Linked DNA regions of Rattus norvegicus. The protein of the gene in region 1 purifies or fractionates together with the protein of each later gene. This does not show direct contact. Links are inferred from orthologs where the notes say so. Each region holds a gene or a part of one and is shown on either strand. Other genes may lie near its edges.

What was found. Proteins that work in one complex are often made in the same cells at the same time.
Region 2: the proteins of Rab11b (region 1) and Pi4kb purify together in Homo sapiens (co-immunoprecipitation; 3 studies listed by BioGRID and IntAct, with this or other methods). This does not show direct contact. The link is inferred for Rattus norvegicus from reciprocal best matches to the Homo sapiens genes RAB11B and PI4KB.

Annotation. Positions count from the first base shown.
Region 1 is NC_086025.1:15,232,451-15,239,799, forward strand, and holds the start of Rab11b (ras-related protein Rab-11B), read right to left. Parts: upstream 4,305-7,349; 5' UTR 4,255-4,304; coding exon 4,215-4,254; intron 1-4,214. Other genes in the region: Rplp1l1 (large ribosomal subunit protein P1-like), read left to right, coding at 5,347-5,688. UniProt on the Homo sapiens protein: The small GTPases Rab are key regulators of intracellular membrane trafficking, from the formation of transport vesicles to their fusion with membranes.
Region 2 is NC_086020.1:185,226,004-185,233,416, reverse strand, and holds the start of Pi4kb (phosphatidylinositol 4-kinase beta), read right to left. Parts: upstream 4,026-7,413; 5' UTR 3,688-4,025; intron 302-3,687; exon of another isoform or gene 121-301; coding exon of another isoform or gene 110-120; intron 1-109. UniProt on the Homo sapiens protein: Phosphorylates phosphatidylinositol (PI) in the first committed step in the production of the second messenger inositol-1,4,5,-trisphosphate (PIP). May regulate Golgi disintegration/reorganization during mitosis, possibly via its phosphorylation.

The DNA.
Region 1 (7,349 bases):
GAAAACTGTGCCCTGCTCAAGAGGTCTCTCACACTTTTGCTGTCTTCTCCGTCTTGCCTCTGTTGTACAGCCTCGGGGACTCTTAGCCACAACATCTGCATGAAGACCAGGACTGTACCTTGGGCCAAGCTTATGCCCAAATGCCTCATGGGCCTACTCTTAGTAAATTCTCAAGGCCACCCCAGGGACAGACACAAATGTCAACAATCCCTCTGCAGTAAGGGATTCTCAACCCCGGAGTCCAAATCCCCAGTCCAAGGTTACACATTAGAACAATAATGCATGGAGCTGGCTGAGAGTCAGTAGATCATGCCCAGGTGAACAGCAGGAAGGCTAGGCTGCTCAGGCCATCCCCAGCACAGGATGCCTGATACACCAGAGTGGCAACTGGGCTGGCTGTCTCTACATGTAGAATGGGTATGAAATGGCATTGTTAAGAAAACAAGTGATCACATTGTCTTGGGAAAATATGGGCCCTTCAGGAAACCCCCAGCATTTCCAAAGAAGTCGGCGACTTTGCTGGATAGAAAAGGTCCCTCTGGATATGCCATTTGGCTGCTTGAACAGTCGAGCCAGTTGGCACAAAGATCTGACACCTCTCAGGAGCCCTGGATGCTCTGGCCTGCCCTGTGATAGGATGGAACCCCTGGAGACCCAATGTCGGGAAGGTGTACTCTAGGAAGTGGCCCTAACTATTCTTGGGCCTGGCACAGGGGAGGATTATTGACTTAATCTCTCAGGCTAGTGAGAGTCACTAGCACAGCAGGCCTGGTAGACACACTGCCTAGTCTGGTGTACTTGGCAGAGGGTTATAAATTCTAGGGCTAGCCCTGTCCCTGGTGTCTAGTGATTTCTGTTCTTGGGCAGGGGTGGGTACAACTCAAAAGAACAGAGTTCCTGTGCTTCCCACATGACCTATGTCCTTGAAGACTGGGCGGGCACTAATGTCTGGGAACGCTGGGAAAAAGAGTCTAAGGATGGGGCTTAGGAGATTCCAGTGCAGTAACCCTGACTCAAGTGTTCCTCAGAGAAGTTACGGCTATCCCTAGGGATCCACCAGCAGGTTGGGAAAATGGCCAGTGCCTGACAGGAGAAAATGTTGAGAGAAGAAACGTGAGGATCTATAATTAGGTACAAATAAACAACCTCACTCCTGGGGCAGAAGAGACTATTTATGGAGGAAAACAAACGGCATATGGCTACCCACTCTTGAGACCTCTTGGCCTTAGCCTTAAGGTCAAAGGAGCCAAAGTGTGATGTGGCTGCCAAAAACTGTGTTTGTGTATGAGCAGCCACTGTCGCAAGCACAGGCTTGTGGCCCTACATGTCAAAGAAATGTGACCAAAGCCTAGGATAAGGAAGTAGGGACAGGCAAAGGTGGTGGATCCAGCACAGGGGTTTGGGGGTGAGGTAGGGCTCCAGACTACTACACTTCCTGAGTTCCTACAGGTGACAAAGAGAGCCACATAGTGACAAAAGCAGCCTGTCAATACTTGTAGTGCAAACGTAGATTTTTTTTTCTTGAGACAAGGTTTTGCTATGTAGCTTAGGCTGGCCTTGAATTTATCTTCTTACCACTGAATTAAGACGCCTCTCCAAGGCTGACCAGGTTACCACCATTGTTATAATGGCTGACCTGGAGCATCTAAAGGCTGTGAGTCTCAAAAGGGATTGGCAGGTGCAGTGTACTCACATTATTCGCCACATGCAGGCAAAATGATGTGATTGGTGATAACAATCTGCCTGGCTTCCCTTTTTATTTCATAGCACTCCTTTATCTAATTTAATGGTTTAAAGTCTGAATGAAAAGGACAAATGTTAACGCTCAGGTGAGATGCCAGGAATGGAGAGGAGACCTAGGGTGAGCACTGGCAGAATGTTCACCTTGGGGGTTAGGCAGCTACTATGACTTACTGAAGAAGGTACCTGCCAGACCAGGAAAGGAGGACAGTAGGAGAGGGTAGTGGGGGCAGGTGGCTACTCTCCTTCTACCAATACCAACCCCCCAACCCCGTTGCCAGCTGCTGCAGGAGCTGATTGGTGCTTCCAGGAAGTGAGCTCTGGAGACAAGTACCAGGAATGGCAATGGAGTTCCATTGCCCCTGACCTAGTAACTGCACTTCTGGGAATGCACATCAAGGAAACAGCCCACAGGGCAAAGAGAGGACTCGGGCACACATTCAATGCCAGGCTATTTATAACAGTGAAAAGGCTGAAAACAAGCAGGGAATGACCACAGATGCCTGGATGTGATGACTTGAAGGGAAAAGATCCCCCTGCCCTGCCTGGAAGCTTCCTCCGGGTGGTCTGAGTGGGGACAGGCCCCGGACACAGCAGGACTTGAATCTTTTCTGTCACCAGAGAGCCTTCCAAATCATACTCTGCCTCTGAAGTGATACCTGGACTCTAACACCTGTAATTAGTCTCACACCTGGATATAGCCCACGCCTAGCCCATAGTGCTGTGTGGTACCCGTATCTTTGCAGAAGTCTGTCTCTGTCTCTGTCTTATGAGCCTTTTGCCACAAGGATATCCCAACTACCTCCACAACCCTGAGGGCAAAGGTATGTCCCTGGAGGATCCAGAAGTTATCTCTCAAAATCCATCACTGTCAATCAGGGAGTCTAGGACCCAAAAGCCCAGCTTGGCATAGAAGGTGTCACAATGCCAGATCCTTAAAATATGCTCACCAGAAGAATGGGGAACCCCAATGACACGGACAGAAGCTTACAAAGTAGGGAAGCTCTTCCTGAGTTAGATATGTATGTGTTGAAGGGAGGTATAATACCTGTCTTTTCCATATCTAAGCTGCAATCCTTGTCCCTAAACTTATACTCTAAGTGGCAAAACCTGTCCTGGGCTCAATCCTGCTCCACCCTTAGGAACCTGATTCTCTGAACTTCAGTTTTTCCCTTTTGTTCTGAGGACAGACTATGGCTGTGTAACATAAGTTAGCTTTTAAAAAATTAAAAAAACAAAAACAAAAACATCCAAATTCTGTTGACTTGCCACTCCTGTCTCGCCCCTTTATGTGTACCAGGTTTGCCTTGAACTCACAGATCTCTGTCTCTCTCTTGCTTCCTGAGTGTTGGGATTAAAGGTGTGTGCCACCACATTCTGCTAAATTACACTATTTTTTTCTGTGTATCTATCTATGTGGGCTCATATGAAGGGCAGAAGACAATTTGCTGACTTTTGTCCACCATGGAGGCTCCAAGATTGAACTCAGGTCATCAGGCTTGGCAGTGCACACCAATACCTAAGCTCCCTCACCAGCCCAGGTTGGCTTTGAACTGGAAAGAGATCCTCCTACCCCCAACTCTGAGTACTGGGATTCCAGGTGTGCACCACTATAGGCCTGTTTCCTGGACAAAGTGGACTGTATAAACTCAAAGAGGATTAAAAGGGACCATTGTTGTAAAGTCTCAGAATAGTGCAAGTACTGCATTTGATCTCATCCATGTTCTTTTTTTCTTTGAAAAAGGGTTCCAGTAATCCAGCCTGGCCTCTGCACTTTTGCTCTTCCTACCTCTGCCTCCCAAGTGTTGAGACTACAGGTCTGCACCATCACCAATGTTTATGCAGTGTTGGGGATAAAACCCAGGGCTTTGAGCATGCTTCTGATAAGCATGCTACTAACTGAATCACATTTCCGTCAATTACCAAGAGTTTGAACTAGTGATGAACAGACAGGCCTCAATATACCCAATTCCAAAGCACCACAATTTAGGGATACTGCACCTCATGACCCAGCCTCCACTCCAAGGTAGGCCCCGCCTGTAACAAGTCAGCCCTAGAAGGCTCAAACCAATCAGGCTTAGTGGGCACGCCCACAACCTTCTCCATCGCCCTACCACCACCTATAATCCCGCTTTCAACGTAGTCCGCCCGCCAAACCCAAGAAAGCCCCGCCCCTCAGGACGCCCCGCCCCAACGGCCTCTTCGACCACTTCGGGCCCCACCCCCTCAAGGCCCCGGCCCCGCCCCGGCGCATCCGGGGTCCATAGGCCTCTCCGAGTCTCCCTCATCTCACCGCTGCGCACTAAGGCCCAAAACCTAGCAAGCTCCACTTGCCACGGCTTCCTCAGACTCCCTACCCCGGATAGGCCCCGCTGAAGCCCCGGGCTCCACCTTGAACCCTCTGGTCCTGTATCACGGCTTCGGCCCTCCAGTCGCTACTGCGACCTTGCCTATTTGTACCCCACCGGGCGCACCTTTGAATAGGTAATCGTACTCGTCGTCCCGGGTCCCCATTGTCCTGGCGCTTCCGGCGGGATCGGCGACTCCGCAGCCCCACCACAAACACCCGACGGGGGCGGTACCGGCGCCGCGCAGAGCGGCGGTCTGGTGGCCAGTCAACGGTGAAAGCGGTAGTGACAGGCACCTGAACAAGCCAATCAAACTTAGGAGGCGAGCTCAGGGGGTGGGATCGTCCTGGGATCCACCCTTCTAGTCCTAGGTCTCCTGGAGAAAGGCGGAAGGAATGCGGACCTTTTCGAAGTGACAGATTCAGCAGCCTATCAAAAGCAGATGGAGAAAGGAGGGGCGGAAGACTTGAACAATGAAGCGGATTGACAGAGTATGTAACCAATGAGAGACTGGACTGAGACTCGGCCTTCCAGTGGACCTGTATCGAGCTACCTCTAGGTGAAGTTACGGACTCTAACGTCCTGGTGACATCATAGAACAGTGGGTTTCCTCTGGCCTCTTAGTCTAGCCCCATAAATGACCATTTCCGGGTGTATGTACGTGGATTGGGGTGCCTTCTCTGAGTTGCACTTCCCCAGTTATTTGTTTAAACCTAAAGCTTATGCCAGTACCTCCAAAACAAATGGGGTTCCTAGGCTTTTTTCATTTGTTCTTCTCAAAAAGTTCTATTGTTTTCTGCTTTCACCATTACTCATATTTTTTTATTTTCTAAGACAGATTTTCACTATGAAACCCTAGCTAGACTGGAATTGGTGATATGGCTCAGACCATACCTGTCTGGCTTTCTTTTCCCTTTTTTTCTTTCTTGTTTTTTCGTAACAGGGTCACACCATGTAGCCCTGGCTGTCCGGAACTTGCTCTGTAGACCAGGCTGGCCTCGAACTCACAAAGAGCCGCCTATCTCAGCCTCCCAAGTGCTGGGATTAGAGGCACTTGCTACCACCACCCGGCTTGATATTTTGTTTTGTTTTTTGAGACAAGGACTTATGTTACCCTGGCTAGCTTCAAGTTGAAAAGGGAGTAGCCCCTTTCCTCAGCTGCCGCCAAGGTGCTCGGTCCTTCTGAGGAAGCTAAGGCTGCATTGTGGTGAGGCCCTCACTTCATCCAGCGACTAGCTCCGTGCGGGCAGTCCACAACATGGCTTCTGTCTCCGAGCTCACCTGCATCTACTCCGACCTTATCTTGCACGATGAGGTGATGGTCACAGAGGATAAGATCAATGCCCTGATTAAAGCAGCTGGTGTCAATGTTGAACTTTTCTGGCCTGGCTTGTTTGCAAAGGCTCTGGCCAATGTCAACATTGGGAGCCTCATCTGCAATGTAGGGGCTGGTGGGCCAGCTCCAGCAGCTGGAGCTGCGCCTGCTGGTGGTCCTGCTCCATCCACCGTTGCTGCCCCAGCTGAGGAGAAGAAAGTAGAAGCAAAGAAGGAAGAATCTGAGGAGTCCGAGGATGACACGAGCTTTGGTCTTTTTGACTAAACTGCTTTTGTTAACATGTCCAATAAAGAGCTGAACCTGGGGGGTGGGGGGGAGAGAAAAGGGAGTAGAGACAGAAAAAAGGCAGAAAGAGGGGCAGGGGTTGGGGGGCCAGGAGCACATGGAGAGAGGGGGCAAGGAGGACGGGGAGAGAGGGAGAAAGGGCAGAGAGTAGGAGGATGAGAGAGTGAGGAAGGGTCGCTATTGCATGCTGTGCACTATATGTTTGCAGTGCCCATAGAAGTCAGAGATGATGTTGGATCCTTGAGACTCGAGTTATAAACAGTTGTGCCACCATGTAGGCGCTGGGAATCAAACCTGGTTCCTCTGTTAGAGCAGCAATGATCTTAACCACTGAGCATTCTCTCAAGACTGAAGCTAAATTAATTAGAATGCAAAGGCTTGATTTCAATCCCTAGCACTGAAGTGGGGGAGGAAGTTATTACTGGCACTATAACAGGTGTTTAGAAGCTGCTTTGGGGCTGAAAATGGGGCTCAAATGATAGAGTTCTAGCTCAGTATGCACAAAAACTGGGTGTGGTGGCGCATGCCATTAGGAGAGTCAGGAGTTCAAGGTCATCCTGTACCACGTGAGTTTGAAGCCCTTATTAAACAACAAAAATAAGGGGCTAGAGGGAAAGCTCATCCATTAAGATCACTTTCTGCTTTTACAGAGGGCCCAGGTTTGATTCCCAGCACCAGAATGGTGGCTTACAACCATCTGTAACTACAGCTTCAGGGTGTCTGATGCCTTAGCGTCCTGGATTCATGGGGTACACATAAATCCTGAAATGCATACACAATCACATTATATGGTTGCATAATCCATATTGTGCACTTGGGAGGCAGAGGCAGAGGCAGGCAGCTGGATCTCTGAATTTGAGGCCAGTCTGGTCCATGAAGCTAGCTCCAGAACAACAATGAGGAGGGAGAGGAGGAGAGAGGAAGGAGGAGGGAGGTGAGGGGGGAGGAGGAGGAAGAATAGAGGAAAAAAAGAAAAAATATATGACCCACAAGAGAAATTTTAAAAAAGAAAGAAAAAGAAAACAAACAAAACCCTTTCATTAAAATGTGTTAGTTCCTTGTTGGTGTCTAAGAATTGCTTCACAAACCACACAAATACGGATCTCAGTCAGAAAGGGGTGGCTTATTGAACACACACCCTAATACTGAACATTCAAGACCACAGAAAAAGGAATCAGGTGCCTAATTGTGTTACCAGTCTGTTCTCAGGGCAAAAACAAGGGGAAAAGAATGCATTGAGCTCAAATGCTGGTGCAGGAAATGTTGCCCAATGGTCAACTCTGACTCAAGCCATGTTAGACATAGCATTTATATTGACCTTTAACTTGTAAAGCTATCTGGAATTTCTTAAGATTAACAAACCTCATACAGAATATAACAGGGGATATGATCAGCGTGACCCTGCTCTGAGTCAAGTTATTTCTCTGTGTCAATGACTGGCAGGCATATTACAGCAACAGTATGAAAAAGCTGGCAGGCATGGAGTAAAATGACTACAGCTATGTTGGAGAGGAGGATCAGACCACAACTTTCCTCACTTAGACCCACAGGATAACAGTAAGATGAAAGCCTGGTATTTTTGCCTTCCTTTTGTCTTGTCTCTCTTGCTTTGGATAAAGACTCTTTCTTGACCCGAAAGG
Region 2 (7,413 bases), on another chromosome or scaffold:
CTTAAAAATTCTGTTTGCACAGAATTTTCATGAAAAAGGTCTTCATGAAAAGATTTACTGGACAGGCCTCTCAGGAAAGACAGTACCGACACATAAATAATGCCCTTACCTAATCACCATTATTGCTTCTTCAGTCTTTTTCCTCGCATGATAAATATGAACTGCTTCACACAAATCCTGGTGGCCTAACACGCTCTCAGATTTTCATACAATGGCTTTTAAGCATCATCTGATCTACAGCTCTTCTTCCAAGCAGGCAGGTCAGCTCAATTTCCCTTCCTTTTAAGGAATCACAGGAATCCTTTAAAATGGATCACAGGAAGTGGAAAAAGATAAAGGAGCCAATATCTTACTGTATGAGGTGGGTAGTAAAGGAAAACCAGCAAAAGTTTATGGGAAAGAGGGCCAAGGGTGTAGTGTGCCAAGGTCCTAGTGCAGTAGTGGATGGGTCACCTAACATGAGCACCACTCTGGTTCAATCTCCAGCAAACCCTGCTCCAAACTAATGGAAAAGAAAGGCACAGATACATTAGCTAAAGCTTCATTAAGTGTTAGGTTGAAGAACAGAATAATGTCATAATTACCTAAACAAGTATGAATCCTCTACATCAAACCCTCTTCTTCAATAAAGGGTCAAGAAATCGTCACAAGCATTTAAGTGAAGGTATGATAATTAAGCTTTAGATAGAAGTGAGATAATTAAAGAGGTGAGCTCCAATATGAGGAGTGTGAGCACAGATAAGGGGGAGGGGACTATTAGTTTGATCATAAATCCCTATACCAAGTGCGTGCAGTCCTTTAGCAGTAGTTTTAAGAAAATAGGCCATTCTTCAAAAGGGACTTTAGTCCTATCCCAGGCTTCTTGTTCTGCTGTTAAGAAGTTCCTTATTGGGGCTGGAGAGATAGTTCAATGGTTATGACCACTGCCTGCTCTTCCAGAGGACTTGGGTTCAATTCTCAGCACCCACATGGTACTCACAACCATCTTTAACCCCAGTTCCAGAGGAACAGACATCCTTTTCTAGCCTCTGTAAGCAACAGGCACATATGTGATGTACAGCAGGCAAAACAGTCATGCACACAAAGTAAGTATCTTTCTTAGAAAACAAGTTCCTTTCTATGTCTTAAGGTATAGCACAAAGCTTCAAGGACGTATGGCTCCCTTCCACCTTAATAGTAAAGAAGAATGACTTCTTCATTTTTCCCTGTAGAAACTCTGGACTGAGCAGTTTAGCAAGCTCAAGCCCCACCAAGAACCAAGTATGCTTGTTCAAGGTCTCAAACGATGGTGGCATCAGGGAAGAGGGCATTCTCCACTACAGCACTGGGGGGAAGGGCAGTGGTCTCATGGCAGTTAGGTCAATATTGATCAAGCTTAGAACTCTGTGCAAAGGCATGCAGCAGGTATAAGAGGATTCCAACCAGACAGCCCAAGCCTGCTCCAGGAGCCCACAATAAGGCTGACAGGTGGTAAAGACAGCAGCCTGCATTGCTCACCGTTCTCTGAACTAGTCCTTATTTGAGTCCCAAATGTGCTTAGATTAGGCCTTCTCTTGTCCCGTGCCAATTATTGAAAGGATCCTTCCAAACCTCTTATTCAAACCAAAGCAGCTCAGTTTGCTGTATTAGTGTTCAGCAAACATCTTCTCACACAGTGTGGCCCCAGATGAGAAGCAAGGAAAACCAGGGGGCTTCTCCCATAGGTGGGGATCATTAGGAGACTGCATTCCAAGTAAGTTCAGGGTAAAGAGAGGTGGGCCATGATGGCGTTACTATTTTCTAGAGTTGGAGATGGATGAAGTGCCTGTGCCTTCTTCACTAGCTCAGGCCAAGACAGATGTGGCAGACAACGCAGCACGTACATCGCTGCTACGTCCCAGCATGGTCCAAGGTTCTTTTCAAAGGGGTCTTCTACAAACACATTTTCTGACCATAGAATCTGGAGTTATGGATCAGGTACAGAAAAAAAGGTGCAAATGGTCAACAACTTAATGTGGTGGAAGAAAGAAAACAGGGTTGAGAAGTAGCCAGCCAAGCAAGAGCGTGTGCTTCAAACTGACTTTATACTCATGGTCAGAGACCAGAGGGATCAAAATATCAAAGTAAAGGGATTCTCAACATGGCAAAACCACTAGCAACAAATACCTCTCCTCTGAGAGCCTGCAGTTTTTATCAATTACAAAACTGCAGTTCTTCCCCCAACAGACATCCAATTAGCCCATTACAGCACTGGTGCTTGCGGAATGGACCATTTTCTCAAAAGACCATTCCAGAGTTCAAGGGAGGAAGTAACAAGCAGAACCAAGGGGCCTTGACTCTGAATATACAGCTCTTTACACTGTCTTATGGTTCCTTTTCCCAATTACCCCCAGCCCCCAACAGATACAGACACAGACACAGACACAGACACACACACACACACACACACACACACACACACACACACACAGACATACACACATACACACACACCCTCACCTTAGGTCCAAATTCTTATGAAACTAACCAACACTAGTCCACTAAGCTTCAGTCAGGAAAGTAATGGTTCCCTTTAGGTCTAGACAGGAGTAGGAGATACTATTCTGTGACCTAACAAAACCCCAAAATAAATAATCTAAAGCAAAATTTCTTATAACTTCATTCAGTTTCCATGCAGGCCTGAGGTTGCTCTTAAACACTCAACAAAATGTAATCTGATTGATAGAGACTTCTTTAAAAGTTGTTTCACCCTTCAGAAACACACATCTGTCCAGAAAAGCCCGAGACAGCTAAGGCTCCCCCTCCTCTCAGATTTTCTTAGTTCAAGGTTTAGCTGATCTGAAATCATGTGCAGAGATAGAGGGTGTGATAGAGAACACTTAAAACACGGGGAAAACAGAGCTGAGGGAGACGAACATCAGCAAAATTCTGGAGAGAGGTGTCAAAAGTTGGAAATCACTATCTGTAGGGGTGTTCTCGTCAGATCTTTCTCCTACAGGAAGCCCTCCAGAGGACTGGAGATTGAGAAAGGGTAAGGGAAGCCAAAGACAGCTTCAGAGAACATCAGGCACCCTGGAGAGGGGTTGAGGACTAAGGTTAAAGTAAATGGTATCGGAGTACGATGACAGTAGTCTGAGATCCTTTAAGGAGAAGGGAATAGACAGTTCTTGGAAGCCAGGAGCTGAGGGAGTGGGTTATGGTGAGGTAATGGAATCGGAAGCAGAAGAGAGGGATACAATCTTTAGCTGAGGGAAATGAGAACTCTGTGCTGAGATTGCACTGACTCGGAAGAGTGGGGCAAAAAAGGAAAAGGGATAAAGGCGGAGTCCATGGAAAAGTCTTGTGAGCAGAAACAAACGACGAGGAAGGGCAAACATGGATAGATATTGTAGAAGGGGTCTAATGTGGAAAAGGTTCACGACTTGGAAAAATAGTTAAGGAACAGAGGCAACAGAGGTAAGAAGTGTGTGTGGTGCTGGGTGGGAGGTGGAATCCGCGGGGCAGAGGGAGGGGCTAAACTGAAGAGGAAGCCAGAAAGCAGAGGAGACGACCCCGCGCCCGAGAGGAAAGGGTGAAGGACCTCAGGGTGCAGCTGCCACCAGGGGGGCAGTTTTGTAGTCGATCCCAGGTCGCGGAAGGCTGGGCGGGACAGGGTGGCAGAAGGACCCCCCACAGGCAAAGGCGACTCATGGGGGAGGAGCCGCTTACCTCCGGGGGACCCTCGCGGAGGGGGTGCAGGCGGTCGGGGTCGGACTGCCGACACCGCCGCCTCAGCAGCAGCGGCCGCTCCCGGGTTCCATTGGCCGCCTGCGCTTCCCTGACAGCGGCCGCGGCGGCTGCACCAGGCCCCGGCTGCGGGGCTGCCCGCGGCGCCGCCTGAAGGGGCCTTCACGCTACCTCAAGTTGGACCGGACCCCACTTGCAGGACCCAAAATAACAATTCCTTGATGGGTTGCGATGTAAGAGTCCGCTGGGCCCGAGCCTTTCTTCTCGGCGCTTGCTTTCCTGCTTTCCGAACTGTCAGGACACTACCGATGCCATAGTAATCTGAGTCGGGTGAGCTGCCCGAGTCATGCCTGTTCAGAAAGGAAAAGGGGGCGGGGAAGAGCTTTTGGAAGCTAGGGAATGAGCGGGGGTGGGGACAGGGAGGAGGAGCCTATGGGGGAAGGAGGGCCCAGTGTTTGAGGGCGGACCTAAGAGGCAGGCTTTACTAAGGAAGCCGAGAGGGAAGTAGCGTGGGCAGGATCAGTGGAGGGATGCGGAGGTACTGATATTTTATGTACTTCCAAAAGTATACCAACACGCAAATTATACGTCAACTATTCATTTGCATAAGCCACCGAGTTACCGTAATTGCCACCAGTGGCTTTTCTTCTTTTCCTATCCTACAGGATTCCCTTCGTAAATCAGCCGGTGGGACTCATGTGGGAGGGCCAGAAAACAGACGAGAAAGAGAAGGGAGGAAGAAAGGAGGACAATCACCTTCATTTTCCTTTTCCTACTCATCTTTAAGGACGATGCCATGAGTATGCCCCTGTAGCTTCAGGAATGGCCCAGTCCAACCGCCTCAATCTTTTCACTGTTTCGCAGCACTCTGGGACAAGGTTCTGCTTCCGAGGTCACCTCAGCTTGTCGCCAAGACTTTAACAGAGGCTGTTCAAGACAGGTTAGGAAAGGTGAGTGAAATACAAAAGCTTGGAGGACCTATTCCTTTTACAAACGAAACAAAATCGCGTGAAACTGAACATAAGCAGGCCTCGTAAAGTCCCACAATCACTGTCCCAACACTTTTCCTGAGGCTTTTTTTTTTTTTTAATATCTTAGGCCCCTGGTGAGGGTAGATAATTAATATTCTACTGGAAGCTGGTTGAGCCTAGCTCTTGGCTGCCATCTTCGTTGTGCTTATAGGCTGATTTGAGATCTTTGTTTCTTTTTGTTTTTCTTTCCCTTTCTTCTCTAGCTTCCTTCCCATGCCCCTTTCCCCTTTTTAGAGACAGTCTATTTTTCCAAGGCTGCTTGTGCTATTCCTTGGCTCAAGCCACTGGCCTATGGGAATACATTCACATGCCCTCAAGCTGGACTAAACCTCAGCTTCTGTATAATAATATGACAATATTACTATAACACTATATTAACAATAATATGTGATATAATATTTGGTTATAGTACTACATGTCTGTTATGGAAACATGCAGGTGAGGAGTGAAGGATGTCCCTGCTTCCGTATTTAACTGGGAGGGAGGCAGATAAAGAGCTGAAGATGAAGGACTGGAAAGACGGCTCAGTGGTTTAGTGCTGTTGCTCTTGCAGAGGACCACAGTTCAATTCTCAGCACCCACATGGTTGCTTGATATCCACAACTCCACTTCCAGGGAGTTCCAATTCCATCTTCTGACCTCTGCGGGTACCAGATACATACATAGATGGAGGCAAAACATTCATACAGGTAAGATTATCTTTCTTATTTATTTATTTATCTATCTATCTATCTATCTATTTATTTATTTATTTATTTATTTATTTGAAGCTATAGCTTGAAATGCCTGCATAAAACCTGCAGCAGGCACAAAAGTAGAACAAATGGAGTTCTTATTTACTGGAGACACTGGGCAAAACCTTGTTAAATCAACACAGAAGGCCTGGCTGCAGAGTATACGGTGGAAGGATGGACGGCTTCTGTGAACCCTGCAGGGCAGAACTCAGTATCCAGTAGGATAAAAAAGAAAGGGCATTCTAAGAGGTGAAAAAACAATGTTTGCTGAATAATACAGATCAGAGCCCGAGGACAGGACAGACAGACAGACCAGGCTAAGGCAGGGGGTGGGGTGGCCACAGCAGCGGAAGGTAAGCAAAGAAGAGCTTACTCTGTCACTGTGTGTCTGGGCTGGTGATCACCAGTCCACCTGACAGGACCACAGTTCCGGGTTAGCTTCCAACCAGCTGTATCAAGAGGTGGTGACCTTGTGGTAGCCTAGAGTTTAAAATGTTACATCTTCCTCCAACCTAGGATTCCCTGGGGCCGCACAAGTAGGCTTTATTTTTTTTTTTTTTGTGGGTTTTTTTTTTTTGTTTGTTTGTTTGTTTGCTTTTAGGAGATAAAGTCTCTACATTTGCCCTGGCTGTCCTGGAACTATGTAGACCAGGCTGGCTTCAAACTCAGAGATCTCCCTGCCTCTGCCTCCCAAGTACTGGGATTAAAGGAGGCCACCACCATAGCCCAGCCAATGGCAATTCTTAACCAAATGAGGCCATTTCGCTCATTTATATACCTACATAGAATTAAGTCATGAGTAAGTAGAAAGTCTACTTCAAGATTTCTGTTTAGCCCTACACGTACAGGTGAAAACGTCTTTGCATTTATGGTTTTGTCTTCCAGTTCTTATCCGGAGAGGTTGGGTGTTTTGTTTACTTACCACCACATATGTTGCAACTTTGTTTCTACTTGCATTCTGACAGTGTCATTTGTTTCTGCAGTGCTGGGCATGTGTGCCTTATGCGTGCTAAGCAAGTGCTATACCACTGGGCCCTATCCAGACCCTGCTCCCTTTTTTGATCTAGGTACTCAAACTGCAACCCTGTCTGAGACTCCCAGGTAGCTAGGATTAGTGGTCTAATTTTATCTAGACTGAGCTCCTAAGGAAGAAGTTCTCAACCTCCCTTTGATATACAGTTCCTCATGTTGTGGTGACTCCAACCGTAAAATTATTTCATTGTTACTTCATAACTAATGCTACTGTAATGAATCATAATTTAAGTATTTCTGGAGACAGAGGTTTGCCAAAGGGGTTGAGAGCCCCATGCTGAGAACTGCTGTCCTATAGGAAGGGAAAGGATTTACCTTTGCATTCTAGATATCCAAAGTTTCTACCACAGGAAAACGCATATGTTGATACAGCAATCAGATTGAGTTCAGAGCAGATATGAGAATTTAGTAGGGTATAAGGGAGATTTAAGAAATTGTAAGGGTTGGGGATTTAGCTCAGCGGTAGAGCGCTTGCCTAGTGAGCGCAAGGCCCTGGGTTCGGTCCCCAGCTCCGAAAAAAAGAAAAGAAAAAAAAAAAAAAAAAAAAAAAGAACTGGGTCGCAGACACATTTATTTGGGCTGGAGAGATGGCTCAGTGGTTAAGAGCCCCGACTGCTCTTCCAGAGGTCCTGAGTTCAATTCCCAGCAACCACATGGTAGCTCACAACCATCTGTAATGGGATCCGATGCCATCTTCTGGTGTGTCTGAATACAACTACAGTGTACTTATATATAATAAATAAATCTTTAAAAAAAAAAAGAAATTGTAAAACGGGGTTGGGGATTTAGCTCAGTGGTAGAGCGCTTGTCTAGCAAGCGCAAGGCCCTGGGTTCGGTCCTCAGCTTGGAAAAAAAAATCTTTAAAGAAATTGTAAAACAAAACAAAAAAAAAAGAAAAGAAAAAAAAAGAA